Linked DNA regions of Drosophila melanogaster. The protein of the gene in region 3 interacts with the protein of the main gene of each other region in a pairwise test. Each region holds a gene or a part of one and is shown on either strand. Other genes may lie near its edges. The genes, in order: CG1504, CG13358, CG7135 and CG10283.

Region 1 (5,041 bases), 2.2 Mb from region 3:
TGCTGGCAGTGTCGCTTCCTGCACCCATCTCGAATCTATAGTCCAAGCCCCGAAACCCAAAACTAATCCCAGTAGCATTTGCCGGGCAAAACATTTCCAGCACGCATGGAAACAAGTTTAGAATCAGAATCACATCACACCAGGAGACAGCCAGACAGTCAGACAGTCAGACAGTCTGAAACTAAGAGATACAGCACATGGACGTACAGATATAGGAGCCGGGATTAGACACAATCGAACATGGCCAGCGACCCTGCCAATTCCAGAGACCAGATCAACATAAACGCGGACGTTTCGGATATTTCCACTAGCGAGAGTGAGCTAACCAGCGACGACTATACTAGCGATAGCGAAGGTGATTACCAATCTAGAAAAATGTGTTTCCACTAATAGCGAACCGCACATCCGATCCAGATGAGAGCTGCACAGTGGCCGATCCCGACACCAGTCCGCAGACGAGCATGTACAGTCTGCTGTCGGCAGAATCAGACAGCGACTTGGAGGAGGAGCAGGAGAATTTCTGCGAAGAGACTATTTCGCTGCTTGCCCACGAGATCCTCTGCTGTGAGGGCGACAGTGAGGGCTCAGAGGTAGAGTCCGACGGCGAGGACATCGACGAGGCCAGGGAATACGATATGTTTGGAGAATCCTCAGAGTTTGGGCTTCCTACATACCGGCTCATGCTGAGCGACGAGGACGAAGATAATTCGAATGAGGTCGAAGTGGTAGGCAGTAATCCGTTCGTTGGCGAGACAATCTTCCTGCTAGAAAAGGATAAGGATCAACAGAGCGAGGAGAAGTCCGAGTCAAAGGAGGAAGAAAAAATCTTCCAAATGGAGCTTTTTGAGTAGGGCTGGGGTTGGTTGAATCGGCATCTCTGCAGGCGGTTTTTTTTTGGTTTTTACAGATATTCACATTCGATGATCATGGATCTAATATTTATGGAGGGCAAGATATGAGATGGATCCTTACCAGCAAACTCAATTTTCAGGATAAGGCTTAGAGTAATTAGAAACGTACTATCCGAGTATATTTCTTTTTTAGCCAGATATCAACATTTATGTATTCGCGCAAATTAACATACATACATTGTTTTATGCATTAGGTGTACAAATGTCCCGAAGCGGCAAAAGTGTGACTCCCTCAGGGAACAGACAATCCTGGCTTTTTGTGCGAGTCAACAGCATCCATAGATAGCAGTATACAGGACGCAGTTAATGGCGACAGATAATGAGTGGAACACACTGCTGATCCCAAGACTACAAACTTTATAAATTTGTCAAATTGTTTACAATAGAGTAAATTGATCGATACCATAGGCCTTACTTATTATTTGAAACTTTTATGATGTATTTTTATACTACTAATGACAGTTTAAAGTAGCACAATCTTTGAAGAGTTTTAATGAGCTTTTATTGGCTTTGAAAATTGTTATAGCAGATGGCTGCCATTTTTCTCGAATTAAATATTCATGCTTAAAACGTCTGAGCATTATAATTACTTTCAGTTTTGACCCAATTAGGATACTAGTTAAAGAAAAGGTAAAAGAAAATCGACCTCATTTTTGGAAAAACGTGTTTATAGTGTTTATAAACGTAATTTATAGTAACAGTAGTTATAGGTACCAAGAAAGTCGGTTTATTTTTATAAATGACATCGCTTGGAAACCCCATAGGATCACTTATATTTCTATTTTATTCTTGCCTCAGTTTGTTTTCGGGAATGGGCCTCCCACATGGCATCAGCCTGTGCGATCAGGCTAGCATCCCTTTAGGATCCCTTTTCACATTGTCACTCACCTGTTCACGCTCAAAGTGGCTGGATGGTCGCTCAGGACACCTGAGGGAGACTGGGCTGGTGTTGGCGCTGATGCTGATGGCGATGGTGATGGCGATGGTGATGGCAACTGTGACTGCGAGTGGGACAGTGACTTTAGCAAAATGCTGACAGGCGACGGCAACAGGCGGGCTGAACTGCAACTGCCTTTCCCTTGGCAGCTGGCATTTAGTATTTAATATTTTGCCTCTGGTTATGCCTCGGTTATCCCTCGGTTATCCCTCGGTTATCCCTCGGTTAGTCCTTCAGCTAGTCCCTCAGCGCCTCAGCCCCTCACTTTTGCCATTTGAATGGAGCTGGTCTTTAATTGCAAACTGGCAGCGGCAATTGCTGGCAACTAAAACTAAAAAGGACGACAAAGGATGAGAAAGCGAAATGCGAATGCGAATGGCAAAATGAAATACAACATCAGGCGGAAAGCGAATATGCACTTTGCAGTTTGCAGTCTGCTCCTGCTTGCTCCTGCTACTGCTGCTGCTCTTGATGATTATGATGATTCCTATTTCCATTCGCATTCGCATTCGCATTCCCATCCCATTTCCACTCCGCCTCCTTTCAATTCGACTGCACTTATCGTAATCGGCGTTTCGGTGTTGGCTTTCAAATTGCCCGCGACCACGTCAAAGCGACCACAAAACTAGCTGAACGGACAACCGTTGACCATCCAACTTCCAACATCGACCATCCGCCACCGTCCACCTTCCACCAACAGCAGGCAATCGAGGACCGCAGGTCAGGTTTTAGCCAGTTATCAGCCGGGCTTAGTTTGGTTTTGGTTTGGGCTCGGTTGGGTTTGCTTTGGTTTGGATTGGAGGTTTGGATGGTTCGGCTTGCGGCTCAGTTTGAGGAGTAGTTTAAAGCGCAACTGGCAACTGTTGCGGGGGCCCCAGCCAAACAAAAACCAACGAAATCACTCACCTCGCACTCAAAACAACACACACGTGATTTCCCGGACCAATAAAACAAAAAAAAAAAAACCGAAACACAGCTGGACAGAACAGAGTGATGACAAAAAAGATGTCAGTTGGGGATGTCACACACCAGCCGCTGAACAGCTGAACTCTAAACTATGAACTGCGGGTCGCGTCAAGTTAGGACTTGTCGAGATTTGGCGAGAGATTTGCGGGCCACGCACGTATCCGCATCCGCATCCGGTACCCGGTACTGATGTCAACAAGCTACCACACGCAACTAATTCAAAAAATCCAGCGAACGGATTACGGCGCCACTGTCCGCATTGCCAGCCGAAGCCGAAGGCGTCACCAATCGGGTAGCTCGGCGCTAGCCGAGTCCGTATCCGAAGTAGCCTCGTTGTCCTCTCGTGACCGCTCGGCTCAGGCAATCGTTTGACGTCGGTGGCGTTCGGCTGGAACCGGCTGGAGCAGTGGTCCGCAGTCGTTGGTCGCCAGCGGAGTGGTTCGCATGTGGCCCGGCTGTAAGTGGCACAGGATTATGGATGAGACCCCGCGTCCTGGCGGGATTCTCTTTTCGTCCTGCCAGCGGGCATTAACGTGCTGTGCGCTTTATTTAAAAAAGCAGCTTAACCTGCTTTTGTGACCTTTTCCCTTTTGGCCAACACGTGGCCAACGGCTTCACCAGCAATCGCCTCACATTTGTCCACCTCCAACGCCGGCGATGGATAGACTGCGTCCTCATCCTGGACCACGCCATGCGTGTTGATAAATGGGTTTTTATTTTGATTTTATTCACTGTTTGCCTTGTTTTTGCATATTCATTGACGGGGCTTCGACTCCGATTCCGATTGCGATTCGATTCGAATTCCCGTCCGTCCACCTGCTCCTGCTTCTGCCTCTGCTCTGCTTCTGATCCCCATGCGAGGATGGCTGGTGTGTCCGGCGTCGAGTGCAAATCCTCTGCCACCTATTGCCTTCGGGTCGTGTCTGTGCTGAAATGGTTTTCAATTTATTAGCAATCAGTGGCATTAACAGCCGAATGCGATGCTGTTGCTCCCCAGCGGATATGGCCACTAGGATTATGGCGGGGTCAGTCAGATAGGAAGCCAGTTGTCACTGATCATCAGCAGGGTATTGGTACTGCGAAGGCGTGCGCGATGAGTTTGTGAAATCAGTATATGTTCAGTAGTGTTATCGAGATCACCTAAGGCATTATTGGCTATTTCAATTCAAGGTTCATTGAGTAGCTATACAAATTCTTACTTGTCTTGAACTAAAGTTCGGCAGTTGTATCATACTTTAAAAGTTAGATTGATATCATTTTGTTATACATAAAGCTTTCCGAAATGTAAGCTGAAGGAAATGTTAAATTTAGAGCTTGATAGTTGAACATACTATCTATATATATATATAGATAGAACTATACTATACTATATTTGAAATGCGCACTCGTTTGTACTACCATTTGTACCAGCATTATATAGGAATAATTCTATGTTTGAGATGGAATTTGTCAGCTTGAAAATCAAATGTGATTGATAGCTTTGAAATTTTCAAGCTATGATATGTAGAAGGAGATGGGTAGATACGCAGTCTTGTGCCGAAGAATTGATTCTATTTTGATAGATAATTAATTAATTTCAAGTTTGTTTTTGTCTAAATGGAATGTTAGGCAAATATATTTCTTCCTCAGAAGGTTATTAACCCTTACCCCAACTCTAATCATATTTTAATCTGTGAAAGTGGTATCGCACACATATGGAAATGAGTCCACATGTGTGGTAAGTATCCTGCGTCGTGCCACTGATTGAACTGCTGACCCCCTAACCTTCAGCCCGTGTCATACGTGGCATATATGCCCCATATGCTGCCCCAACTGACATGCCATTGTACTTCGATTCGGTTTGGGGTGCCCTCAAGATCGGTTTTGCATTTATGCGGAGTGGAAATTCCCAGCGAGGAGCCAGGACCAGCGGCCCAGTGTGCGGCCTAATGCGCTCAACCCGGAACCGCAGGGGCGGCAAATTGGTCAAGTCGGTTGCTGGCCACGTAGCCAGTGTCTTGCGGCTGCAATTCCCGTTACCAATCCAATGCCAATGGCAATGGATATGTAGATGCAGATGTAGATGTAGATGTGGATGTGGAGGTTGCAAATGGCAGGAAATGCGTGATAACGACCGGCAGCACACATGGAAAATATTGAAAATTTGAATGAGGGACACGGACACGAGTCCGCTCAGTCGATTCTCGAGATGGAAGTGAATGCAGGACGCGGGGCAAAGCCATATGCC
Region 2 (3,799 bases), about 17 Mb from region 3:
CTCCTCCGTCTGCAAAGTCTTGTGGTGCACCTCAACGCGATCCACAAGATTCTTGGCCGCCTTCTGATCAGCTAAATTCATCTCTGCACGCACCTTGCGGAGAGCAAGGCAGTCAATGATGCTATGACTCTGCCAAGTGACCTCCAGGTCGGCGGGGATTGGTGTTCCCTCTGACGCCAAGCAGCCCTGACTCGTCATTACTTGTTTCTGGCAAATGTCCATGAACTTGTCTCGCCGGCTAAGCAACGCGTGAGGCGCCAGGTCCACATCCCCCAGTTTCCGGTGATTAAAGTGGGTGATTAGTTTTCCGGTATGCGAATTTACCCCCACGACGGTTGCGACATCGAAGTGCTCTGGACAGCGTATGCGCATCTCGCTGAGCGAGCAGGCCAAATCCAGATTTGACCGGCACCACACTACCATATCCTCCTCGTCGTCCTGTTGCGGCTCGACATAGGGAATTAACCGCTGCAAGTTCGGACGCGGCGTTCCCACGTCGCAGAGGGCATTAAAAGATGCAGAGCATTTCATTTCTAAATATAAAATTTATATTTTTTTGTACAAAAACTTCAGGCCAACTTATAAAACTGTGTGAGGGGAAACTGCATACATATTCGATTGAACTGAATATTCCAATCTTAGGATTCGAAAAATACTATAAATTGTTATGGCTAAATACTCGGGCTGATCGCTATCTTTATATGTACTCTTCAGACTGCTCTTTGTTTTAAAAGCTGAGCGATTTCAGAGGACATACAAATAGATGTACATATATGGCTTCACATGGCCATTGGAGCAGAAAAAGTGCCTACTTCAATTCGAAAGCAGTTAGTATGTCGCTAATCTATGACTGATTGCATATTCTATTTGGACACAAAAAAAAAAAAAAAAATTATTATTCAATAAAAAATAAAATACATAAGCAACAGTGGAAACAGCCTAGCAAGACAGCCTCCTTCAAAAGCTCGATCCTGGTTGGTTCGCCGGAAGGTACTCCGTTTTGGTCAGTCAAGTGATGCACAGGCTCACACCCGCCAGTCGCCGATGATTTGGGAAGAGGGCACCAGCTCGAATCGAGCGTTGGCCAGACTCGGTGGCACACCAAATCTAGAGCAAAAATGGAGGGAAATGAGCCGGCTGCCCAGATGACCACCTCTAGCGCTTTCGTTTCTGCTTACCTGGGACGGAAGAAGGGAGTTGGGTGGCCAGGGAACTTGGGAATGGAAGGCGGAGCAGTCGCCTTGGGCTGGACTTCCGGTTTAATCTGCTGCCTGACAGGGGCAGTGCCCGCATCCACGCTGTCCAGGGTGTTCCTCACCACAAATTGCTGCCTGGGCTGTGAATTGGATTGCGGTCTCGTTCGAGCTCCTGGCATGGGCAAAAAGCGAAAGAGCCGGGTAGAGACGCCGTCATCATCTGTCACGTCATCGGTGGACAAATCATCTCCTCCAGCCCCTCCGACTCCGTTGGCAGACGGAACAGCACTATCAGCTTGTCCACCGGCAAGCGGAGTAAACACGGCAGCCAGACGCACAGGCACAAAGGCTGGGAGCCGCACTGTAATGGGAGTGCCGGAGGGCGGAACAGCCGGTGACGGGATTGCAACGGAGACTGGTATGGGTGTGGGTCGTGGCGGAGGAGGTGGTGGTGGTGGCAGTGGAGGCGGAGGAGGTCTACGTGTGCTGGCATCCGCTGGCGACGCAGTCGTTGTTGTGGCCGATTCCTCCTCGACCTCCTTCCAGGCCTCCAGCAGGGTCAGCAGCTCATCCTTGCTCATGTGGCCGAGACCAACGGGGCTGTAGGGCCACTCGCCCACTCCGAGTCCACTACCAACACTATTCCAGCCTAAAGAGGGCACTTGTTCCACTTGCTCTACGTGACCCAGCGGAGTCTCGAACAGGCTCCTTTGGGGACGTGTGAGGAGCAGCTGCTGACCAGCCAGCCCATTGCACAGGATCTGCATGAGGAGACCCAGGAGCGTCGCACGAACTGACCCGGCCATGACTGACTTTGTATTGTGGAGCCTCTAGGTGGAGCAGTGGCTTATATATACATACCTGCTTTCAACGGAACGAGGAAGGAGGCCAAGCCGAGCAAAACGGAAGCGCACGCATTCCGCTGCGGGTGATCCGATCACACGATGAGAAAATAGGTTGACCGCAGTCCTCGATGGGCTCAGAGTTAATTGAAATGCATTCGATTTAAGATCACAGTACAAGCATTTTAAATAATGTCATAAGCTTTCCCGCTTTGATCACAAACTTGTGTATATCTTAGCATTCTTCGGTATGAGCAGAAATGGGAATGGTTATTCGCATTCGCTTGCAGGGCTTCAATTCATAATATACATAGATGAATAAGTCGCATTCGATATGAATTATTTTCCCAGTGCAAAGATTTTTCCGGTGGTCGCTTGAAACGCACATTCGCACGCAGCTCCATCGCCAAGTACCACAGGTAGTCCATATAGTTGGGTCCCTGCCTCAAGTCCAAGTCCGGTTTCGCGGGCGAACCACTTTTCCTTCTGGGGATGGATGTGGATGTCCATGCAGAGGATGGTCTTCGCGGGCGAACCGGTTGGGCTTGGTCATCGACTTTTGGGGGGTCCAACCCACTTCCGGCATCTGCGCCAGCGGATTTGAGTCTGCGAAAGCGGCGCGACGTGCCAGGGATTTCGATTTATGTTGGTTAATAATTTAAATAAATATTTATTTATATTTAAATATTTGAAATAATATATTCGCAACTCGATTGCCAATATAAAAAATAAAAATACCAAAGACCAATTGGTCGGATTGGGACTCAAAACAGCTATAGAACAATGCATCTGGGCGCCAGGTTCATGGGTGAATCGAAGTATTGTACTTCTATTGAACTTCTGGGGATCCTTAATCCGCATCCTGTGTACAACACACGCATACAAAAAGCAAACTCCACATTACAGCAGAGCGCAAGCTGTCAAAGCTGTAGACCTGGGAAAATAGCTTTGCGGGAAAGCCCGGAAACTCGAAAGCGCCATTTTCAGGGGCATGCTGGCTTGAAAACGAGTTGAAAGCGTATTTCCATATCGTGCATTTAAAGAAACGAAGAAACGAATGGTATAATGGACTTCCGTTAATGTGACCGTTGGCGGTCGGTACTCTGAGATACTCTGCGGTATTCGGTATGCCTCGCACCATTCGGTATATTTACACGGACATACCGGTGACGTGGTTACATTGCAACAAACATCCACAGAAACCTCCAATCCACTCCAATCCCAGACACCCGCCCGCCGCGACGTTGCAACACAGTTTTCATGGTAGCAGCGAACGTTCCCGATTCGAGGCAGAGTCCATTTGGAAGTCCCGGGCATCGCAGGAGCACTGCGGCAAGCACCGACCGATCGGCTGAGTTGTGAAATCCAAGAAGTGGAAGAGGACGACCGGACACAAACTTCACACACTGGTGACTGGACTGCAGCGGATCCACATCGGAATAAGTAGCAGCCAGTGGAAGGAGGCGACGGCAGAGTGCAGCCGTGGCCAAGAAGACTTGAGACGCAGCCCCGTAGTTCCGCGAGCAATCGTAACCAGGAACAGCAGAAGCCATGGCGCTGCTGACCATGATAGCCAGGGTCATCGATGGCCTTCCTCTGGTGGGGACCATGCAGGATGACGAGCAGGTACCCGTGTGCATCACTTTCTAATACGTTGCATTCCGTTCCGCTCCCGCAACTAAGTCGCTTTCACTTTCAGAGCGGACGCAGCATACTGGACTACCAAAACCAGGCTAAGATGCTCTTCCGCAAGCTGGGTAC
Region 3 (4,099 bases):
CCGTGACTCCCGCCCTAAACAATAATTGAAATTATTTACAACAATTATCTGAAGCAATATAATTTATATGAATCTATTAATATATATATATATCCGCAAATATATATGCATGTATATATCTCGCCATATATATGTGTCCACAATGGATTTGATCAGAAATGAAGTCAATAAACAACAACAGCAACAACTAAATTAACTCAAAATCAAAATCAAACTCAGACTCAAACTCAAACTCAACTGCTTATAAATAATTCAGATCAACGATTCAAAACAACAGCCAAACATCTGAACGCCTTGATGAATTATTTATTATATTTCATTATTTACAAATTATATTTTTTAATGTAAATTAAATTAAATTACAAAAAAAAAAAACGAACATTCTTTCTACCTTGCCATGCCCAAAATCATCTTTTGCACACAAACACTGAGCGAAATAATCTTTAAAATGGTTGAGATTTTCAGGAGGGGATCGAAATCTCACGATCTCGAATATCATAAATACAGTATAGTTTTGAATGAAAAGACAGCGATATTGAAAATGTATGCCAAAAAGTTTATTGCATATTGTATTGTAATGGTATTATCGTGCATTTTTAAGGGGTATCTGATAGTCACGACACTAATCTACATCGTGCTTTTTTGTTTATAATAGAATGGGTTTTGGTTTGATTGGAACATGCTTTGCAACATGTACAAATTCAACAAGGCCTTTATAATTTATTTGAAAATAGACAAAAAAAAAATGTGTTTACGAACTATGTATATACCGCCTAGTCGAACAGTTTCAACTCGTCCAGACGTTTCAAGGTGCACTTGAGGCTCTCCAGCGTGCGAGTGTTTCCTTCGAACATGAGCTGCACCTTCTGCCTGGCGAATGTCTCGTCGTGAAAGTTCTTCAGTGAGTTGTCCTCGGAGTCCACACCGATCATGCTCATCAGCGGGAAGAATCCGAAAGCCACAAAGAAACCGTAGGCTTCGCGCTTTCTGATTTCATCCATGATATCCTCATAGCTGGGCAGCTCCTTGGACCAGGGCAGATGCTTCAGGCAGTCCACCAGGGACCTGTAGTAGATGTCGACAAGCTCCTGCCGCCGGTCACGTAGCACCTCCAGTTCCAAGCTGGTGTTCAGGAAGTAGTTGATGTCGAAGCCCAGGCTGCCGTAGAAGCACAGCTGGAAGTCAATCTGAAGGGGCAGTAAAAAGGGCATTAAAGGATCAGTCAATTCTGATATAAACACTAGCTACTAGCTGCTAGTTCTTAGTTGGTTTATGAAGAAATAAATAATCTAATATTGGAGATTGCTGGAAGCCTCAATTTTTGTGGCCAACCTTTTGGTACTTACAATCTTCACCTGCTGCACCGTGTACTCCGCATCGTACTTGAAGAATATGTTGTTCACCCAAAGATCGCCGTGATTGAGCACGTTATGGTTGCCGCGCAGTGGGTACACCGCCTTCAGGACTCGTTCGGTGAAGTGCTCGTGGTAGCGGTAGAGCTTTGTGGTGATCCCACCGAATCCCTCACAGTCACCGACCAGAGCGGCCAGCTTTAGGAGCTGAGTGCCGAAGAGCAGCTTGAAGGGCTCCGAATTGATGGCATCCATGTGGAGCAGACCGAAGGGATAGCGGTCCACAATGGTTTCTGGCTCCCGTTCGGCCATGACCATGGTGAGGGCATGGTATTCGGCCAGTTTGGCCATCACCAGAGCGGCGTGGTCAAAGTCCAGACCCAGCTGGCGGCACTTCAACTGATAGCCTGCGGCGCAAAGGTCCTCCAGGATGATCGTCTGCTCCGGCTGGGTCGTGGAATAGTAGTGCCTGCAAATAGAAAAACGAAAGTTACTCCTCATGGATCCTAGACACACTGCCGCTTAGAACTCACTTGGGAGCCAAAGTCCAAGCGCTGAAACTATCCACCGCCCTCCACATGAGTGCCTCCAGCTTGGGCTTGATGTGCATGTAGAAAAGCGTCTCCTTGTTATAAATGTGCAGGCGGGCCAGAATGGCCTGCTTCTCGTCCGGCATGGACTTGACGATCAGGGATGTCTCCATTGCGCAGCTCTCGGCATTGCGATACTTAATCTGAGCTCGGTAAATGTTGCTGCAGTAGTTTTCCCCGCCACGCGTCAGATTGGTCAGCTGGACACCGATGACCTGCAGGTCCAGCTGCTGCAATCCGTGCTCCAGGGTGCGCCTGAAGAACTGCGGCGTAAGGTACAATGGTGGCTCCTCCAGTGCGTCCGACATCGTGTATCCGTAAATTGCAATTGTGGCGGTGAACAGCCGGCTTTTTATGCAAAATCTCGGAGAGCACTTGCCGATGCCTCATTTGTTGCCTAATTGATCTTAATGGACAGGGCACGACTGGACCTTCCTCAATTGCCTTGATGGAAGTGCATTTGCCGCTGGATTAGCGGTTTGCAGATTGAAGAACATAGCCGATTTGCAGATCTTCCAGCACAGATCGTTGCTGGAGTACCCATTTATTTTATTATTTAAATATATAACACGAAATATTATGCCATTTTGAGGAAATTGGCCCTATACAATGTCTTCAGTTCAAACTTAAAGATTCCAAATATGTAAGTATAAAATAAAATATATTAGTCCTTGAACCTAAAACTACACTTTAAATTTTTTAATTTTTTAAATTTAAAGAAAACAGGAGTGTTTACATTTTCAAACCATAATTAAAAACGCCTGCTACTCTTAAAGGTTAGTTTTGGTTATCTCTAGAGTGGAGGGCGTTCGTATCGTTGGCGCCGTGGTGGCCAGACTCCTGCTGGGCATGGTTCCGGGTGTGGGGCAATTTTTGGATCGCTTGGGCAGAGTAGCCGCCCGCAAATAGGGATTATCGATGTTGGGGTTCTCCAAAATGGCCTTGTTTGTGTTGGAATTGGGCTTGATATCCAGCTCGGGCTTCTCCTCTTTGGATTTGTCGCCATCCATCTCCTCGTTTTCGCTATCGCCCTCTTCGCCGTCGTCTAAAAGGGTGGAAAGTGTTAGCACTCGTGGCATCTGACTATTTGAAAGAAACGCACCTTTGCTGGGCTCATCTTCTGTGCGATTGGCCACCAGATAGTGGTACTCCAGCTCCTCGAAGTCAAACACCTGATCTGTGGGATTTAAAGCGGCTGCATAGGGAGGAAAGGCCGGTTTGCAGGCAATTACTGAAAGGAAATGGTTATTAATTATTGTTCGCTGGATGATTATGGTGCCTCTTACAAGGAAACATGTTGTCCTCGGTGGGAAAGAGGTTGTTCGTCTCCGTGGTCTTGCAGAGGAACTTTGTGAGCGCCTTCTCGATGTCCCGCTTCTGGCAGGCGGCCTTCTCCCTGATGGCCTCGTACTCTGTTACGGGCTGCTTGTGCGTGGGCGTCCGTATGTAGGCGTGCGGATCGGGCATGGGAGGGAAGTAGCTGGGCACGTAGTGGGGATGCGGGGCCTTGATGCCCGCTTGCAGCAGACTCAGCGGGCGCTGCTGCGTCTGCTGTGGGGGCAGTGGAATGGGCACGTGCGTCTCCTTGCGCATGTACGGATCCAAATTGGAGATCGAAATGCCCATGTTAATCAGGGCCAAACTGACATCGCCCACGGTGGGCATCGTGCGTCCACTTAGCTCGCAGTAGTTATGCGCCGAATTGCCGATCTCCCAGATCACTGGAATGGCGTGCTAAATGATTATCCTAGTACAAAATGGTAATCACAATGTCAACTTACACGCCTGCAGCATCTGGGTGAGCGTCTCCAGGCTGTGGTTGCTCGCTTGGCCGGCCCCCTTGTCCAATAGCAGCTGGGACACCACCTTGTTTAGGATCCGCCTATAGGGATCAACATTGGACACTGTTACCGCCTCCACCTTCTCCATGGAGACAGAATTCAATTTGTTTATGCTAAAGTAGAAACCGCAGTGAATATTGCCACTTTAGCGGCTAGTGATGGCACTGTTCGGCACTATCGACTACAGCTATCGGCGCAACGCTCCTTATGAGTTCAAGTGCAACTCCACTGGTTATTTCAATATTTCATCTGGCATTAAGATTTTATGTTAGTTAAACCAAGGCTTGGCATTATAAATCCTAAATTTTCAGTTCTT
Region 4 (4,828 bases), on a different chromosome or scaffold from region 3:
GTTGCAAGTGAAATATTCTGCATAGCTCAATTTAGTTATTCATACTTTCATTTGTAAACACCAGCACTTGGGGTGGACTCCTTGGTAACTCCATTATTTGGGCTTCTTGAAAAATTGTTGTTTGTAGGCCAACGCAAGTCAAGTCATGACAAAGCGCCATAATAAGGAGAGGAGCTGAGTGGGGCTTGGGCCTCCTTTAAGTGCTATCGCCATAGAAATTTTAAGAGCCAAGTCCAAATGGATGAGACCTCCTTCCTGGCACTCGCACATCCTGTCATCGTGGCCTGGCAAGTGAATCATTCCTGGCATGCAGCGATAAAAATGCAAGAAAGAAATAAACTGCATTCAGGCGGCTCGTCATGCAACTGCTGCTGTTTCTCTTGCCGCTGGGGCTGCTGCTCCCCGATATCCCCTTTCTATCCTGGCCCCCTCTTCATCAAGAAGCCCCTTCACTTGTCAGTCAGTCGGGCTGGTTGGCAAAAAAAAAAAGGGAAAAAAGAGGCCAGCAGTTGAGTAAGTTTCAGTCGGAGGCACGGCTATTTCCAACCAAGGGCCGACTCTTTGTGGGGGTCTTTTGTCATGCGTGCTTGGGCGCAAATGAAGCGGCTGCAATCCCCTCGGCTAACCGTCAGCTGTTGCCTGCTGCACGCGCTGCATCTTTAAGATACAAATGCTGGGAAACAGCCTTTTTGCATTTCTGCACTGTGCGAAAAACTTATCGAATTCGGTGGTCTATGGTTCTTCAAATAGCCACAGTTTTTTGAAAACAATTAGCAAACATATTTTTAATATAAACCTTATTTAATACATTTCTGAGTTCAACGAGATTTTCTTTACACATAAAGAATAAAATCTTTTCTGAAAATATTATTATTATTAATCAAGCTGGAATTTTATCTTCAAGTATTACTTATTTTTTCCTACCCTATTTGCGCTTCTATTGTAATCATTATTTTACAATATATATAATTAGACTAGTATAATGTGTATATACTTTTATAAAACAAAATCTTTATAATGGTAGATAACTGATTTTTCTTCAGGTGCATTCATTAAATGGAAAGTGCTAGCGGCAATCATTTTTTGCACCTCCAAAAAGAAGAAAATGAGTATGTATTTTCCCTTTCTGTAGCGGGGATCGCTCGGCTTCCCCTCAATTGCTCTAAAAGAAAACTATATAAGAGCTCGGTGTTTGTTTATTTTTCAACTGAAATCTCTTCTTCACAGCTTTGTCCGCTTTCGGTCGTTGGTCTGCGCTATGCGGTTTCTTCGGCTGCTGACTGGAAGTCTTTGTTTTTGTTTATCGTCTCATGAAGACTTTCAAAACCCCCCAAAAAATGAGGAAACTCGCCAACTTCTTGTGATTGTTACTGGGAGTGGAGAAAGTTTTATTCGGCTCGCGTTTTCTGTGTATTATTTTTTCTTCTTTGGGCAATCTGTTTCATTAGCATAACAACAAATATTGTTCACATAGTAGCCAAAAAAGAGATTTGCACAACAGCCAAATCTTTGTCATCGAGCATTTCGTATTCGCTTTCAATTAATTGAGCTTATTCAAAGAGGTGAATAAGCTAGCTTTTCATGTTGTAACATTTTTTCTATGCAAATGTTTTGATTATTACATAAGGTCAAGTAGAATGCGATAAGGGAAAACGTGCTCGATATGGCTTGTTTACATCTGAATCAACAGAAAAAAACTTATATTTAAGCCCCAAGGCGCAAACGACAGTGGAGAAGTTCTGAGAACTTGAGTGTTTGTTTTTTTTTTTTGGCTGATGTCGGCATTCAAAGATATCGGATCGGTGGAATTAATGGGATATGTATATTGGAATGGGGTATGAAAAGCGTTAGAACATTTATAATTCGTGATGTCTTGAAAGAAATGCCAAATTGAATAAAATGTGTGGACTAAAACCTTTTATATTTGCATATATTAGACAAAAATATTTGTTTAATTTCCAAATTTGATTTATATTCAATTTTGCAAGAAGGGTAAAGACAATATATATTTAATGAACTTTTTGTGAAGAATTCTCAACGAAACAATGGGCCTGACTTTCTTTATGAATAAATGGAAACAATAAATGACAACAAATACAACAAATTTGTTAAAAATTAATTTGATCGCTAGAGAGGTCATATCGTTAAAGAAATACCAAGTCAGGGGAAGAAAACGTTGAAGAGGAATTTTAAAAGACCTCAAATTAATCACTTCTATGTGGTGCTCATGCCCCCCCCGCCCCAATTCCAAAGCCCCTTCATCTCAATAGCTACACTCAAACCCAATCAATTTCCAATTATCCAAGGCCCCGTACGAAATTGTTCATGTTCAACCAATTTCGAAATGGTTTGCTTCGGTTCGGTTCTTAACCCATGCTTACCCTCATTAACATGTCCTGATCGGGGCAGCGCTTCCTTTGGTGGTGCGGCTGCTGTTGTGGTTGTGAAATTATTCATCTCTCTCCTCCTCTCGCCACCCTTCTCTTTCTAACAGGCTCTGGCTGTCTCTTTCGGTGGCTCAAATCTCTATAGAATATCTGTATCTCGTTCTAAAACAGGTGTTTAAATTGGGTAGCTCAAGGACGCGCCTTCCACTCCACTGATTTTTAATTTATGTTGGTTTACTTGTTGAAGCGGGCTGGCAAAATAGATACATAGATGCGGCGATACAGAGCGTGAGTAAACTATATTTTCATCTAATTGCGTCGCTCTCGGTGCAACTATTTCACTTTCACACTTCCACACGAGATATAATGCTTATAATTCCACAATTTCCACCATCAACACGCGCGCAACAACGACAGCTGCAATTCAAAATTCGATTTGATTTAGGTATTGTATCCCAAAGATACGCAACGAACCGGCGGCCGTCGTTCCACGAAAGCAGCAAAACAGCTCATTCAACAGCGAAAGCCGCTCAGCGAATGGATGTTGTTTGACTTGGCCATACAGTCCAGCTAACTGGAAGACACAATAATACTGCAAGCGGCGCTGGAACTGGAAGCCGATACAAATGTATCTCGAAAGCGGCACTGCAATGGAAGAGAGAATAAGAGAGAGGAGAGAGAATAACTCAAAACAGTGCTGCCAAGTTTCAAAAAGATTTCAAATCTAAATACAAAAAGTTATAATTTTACTATTGATTTATAAATTCATTAAACGGTATATATGTACATATGGTTTTTTATTATTATTTAATTTTCCAAAATGAGTTGGGAGCAACGAATTTCAGTATTTCTTTTATTTATGTATATGGCATTTGCTGTTTAGTAAAGACATACACCATTGCGTTAGCTAAGCGAGGTTTCAATCCTCAACAAATGCTACACTTAAAAAATTCCAAAATCATATTTAATTAGATAAAAATTGTGTAGCTAGAAACTTGTTTATAAATATCACGACTGCTAGTTAGTTGTGAAAGTAAGGTATTATAATTAAAATTTAAATAATAGGTAATGTTGTAAAAAAAACTTTAAACGTATAGTTCATATTGGGATACTGGGAATTTCAATAAAAGTTATCTTAAACATATTGTCGTTTATTCATATAAAACTTTATTATTATTTTAATTGATAACTTGGGTAATAAAGTGAGTGAGCAAGTAGTCTCTATAAAATACTTCTTGAGGCACTACCTTCTCGTTGTTATTTATTTTTATAAGTCAAATCGCAGCCGAAATTTAAGAAACTGAAGCCGGGTTCAAAGTATGCCGAAGTCGGGAGTATTTCACTCATAGCGCAAAATAAACAGTCGATCGCAGACACACAAATACTTGTATTACTTGCCACAGCATAGATATACAGATACTTTTGCATCTACAATCGACGTGAAAAAGGTAAACAAAAGTCAAGTCACGGTGCGAATGAGTGTGTATTTGAGATAGATGCCTCGGTGCGAGTGCTGAGTTGTTGGTAACAGCGAGCGATCGCGGCATTCCAGTCAGTAACGAGTTGAATGTGGCTCAAAACGCGTCGCTGAACGATGGCTAAAAACGTTTAAAGTTAAAAAGCGTATTAAATCATATAATATATAATATATTGGTGTAAAAAATACAGAATTAAACCTAATAATTAAGTGTCCGGACATCCCCTAGAAAAATGTGTGAAAATGTTGAGAAACTAACCGGAATACTATGAAAACTGCTGTAAAACTTGGCTAAGATAAACTCGTTTGCACCAATACACATGTGATTATACGTATAAGGGCAACGCAAAATACTCAGACTCCAGAAGCCAGCAATTAAAAAAGAAGTTAGTCAGTTAGCGTCTGGGCCGCGTTACTGGTGTATGAATCATACTTTGGATACGTTTAAAAATAACAAAACAAAAACCTTAAAACGAGGAAAAAGTTGTAACAGTGCTAATGTAAACTTCGATCAAACTTAGCGGAACGAGCTCGCTACAAAACCAAATACCCATAACAAGTAAATTAAGCACACATTATAAAATACCTCAAATGTCGGTCAGGAAGTTGAGTGCCCTATCGCTCTCCATTGGTGGAGTTCCGTTGATTCCAAGTGTTTCCTTGGTAGCTGCGGCCAATGGAGAGAGTAGGGATTGCCATGGCACGATCTGTCATCCGGTCAATGAATTTTGCTATGTTGCAACGGAGAGATGTCATCCGTGCATCGAGGTCTGCAATAATCAAACCCACAACTACGATGCGTTTCTGTGCGCCAAGGAATGTTCAGGCAAGTAGAATTCAAAGATTTCCAAAAGATTACCTCAGATTAACTCACGATCCATAGGGTAATTTGGCGGGTTCTATGCAAGTTCAGGTTTTTCCAGCTGGACTTAATTGTATTTCAATTACAGTTGCTTCAGCGGGT

What was found.
Region 1: the proteins of CG7135 (region 3) and CG1504 interact in a two-hybrid assay, tested with the Drosophila melanogaster proteins (one large-scale study listed by BioGRID).
Region 2: the proteins of CG7135 (region 3) and CG13358 interact in a two-hybrid assay, tested with the Drosophila melanogaster proteins (one large-scale study listed by BioGRID).
Region 4: the proteins of CG7135 (region 3) and CG10283 interact in a two-hybrid assay, tested with the Drosophila melanogaster proteins (one large-scale study listed by BioGRID).

What each region holds. Positions count from the first base shown.
Region 1 is NC_004354.4:20,327,364-20,332,404, forward strand, and holds the start of CG1504 (uncharacterized protein), read right to left. Parts: upstream 3,010-5,041; 5' UTR 2,755-3,009; intron 2,180-2,754; exon of another isoform or gene 1,800-2,179; intron 1,318-1,799; exon of another isoform or gene 852-1,317; coding exon of another isoform or gene 415-851; intron 356-414; coding exon of another isoform or gene 241-355; exon of another isoform or gene 81-240; intron 1-80. Other genes in the region: CG1631 (uncharacterized protein), read left to right, coding at 241-355, 415-851.
Region 2 is NC_004354.4:802,896-806,694, forward strand, and holds CG13358 (uncharacterized protein), read right to left. Parts: upstream 2,027-3,799; 5' UTR 2,003-2,026; coding exon 1,179-2,002; intron 1,108-1,178; coding exon 1,026-1,107; 3' UTR 532-1,025; downstream 1-531. Other genes in the region: CG13359 (uncharacterized protein), read right to left, coding at 1-531; Sec22 (secretory 22), read left to right, coding at 3,590-3,670, 3,738-3,799.
Region 3 is NC_004354.4:18,101,832-18,105,930, reverse strand, and holds CG7135 (uncharacterized protein), read right to left. Parts: upstream 2,279-4,099; 5' UTR 2,251-2,278; coding exon 1,886-2,250; intron 1,822-1,885; coding exon 1,347-1,821; intron 1,188-1,346; coding exon 774-1,187; 3' UTR 538-773; downstream 1-537. Other genes in the region: Taf8 (TBP-associated factor 8), read right to left, coding at 2,713-2,987, 3,045-3,173, 3,229-3,663, 3,724-3,871.
Region 4 is NT_033779.5:18,481,513-18,486,340, forward strand, and holds the start of CG10283 (uncharacterized protein), read right to left. Parts: upstream 3,002-4,828; 5' UTR 2,862-3,001; exon of another isoform or gene 2,805-2,861; 5' UTR 2,458-2,804; coding exon 2,382-2,457; intron 1-2,381. Other genes in the region: grnd (grindelwald), read left to right, coding at 4,456-4,690.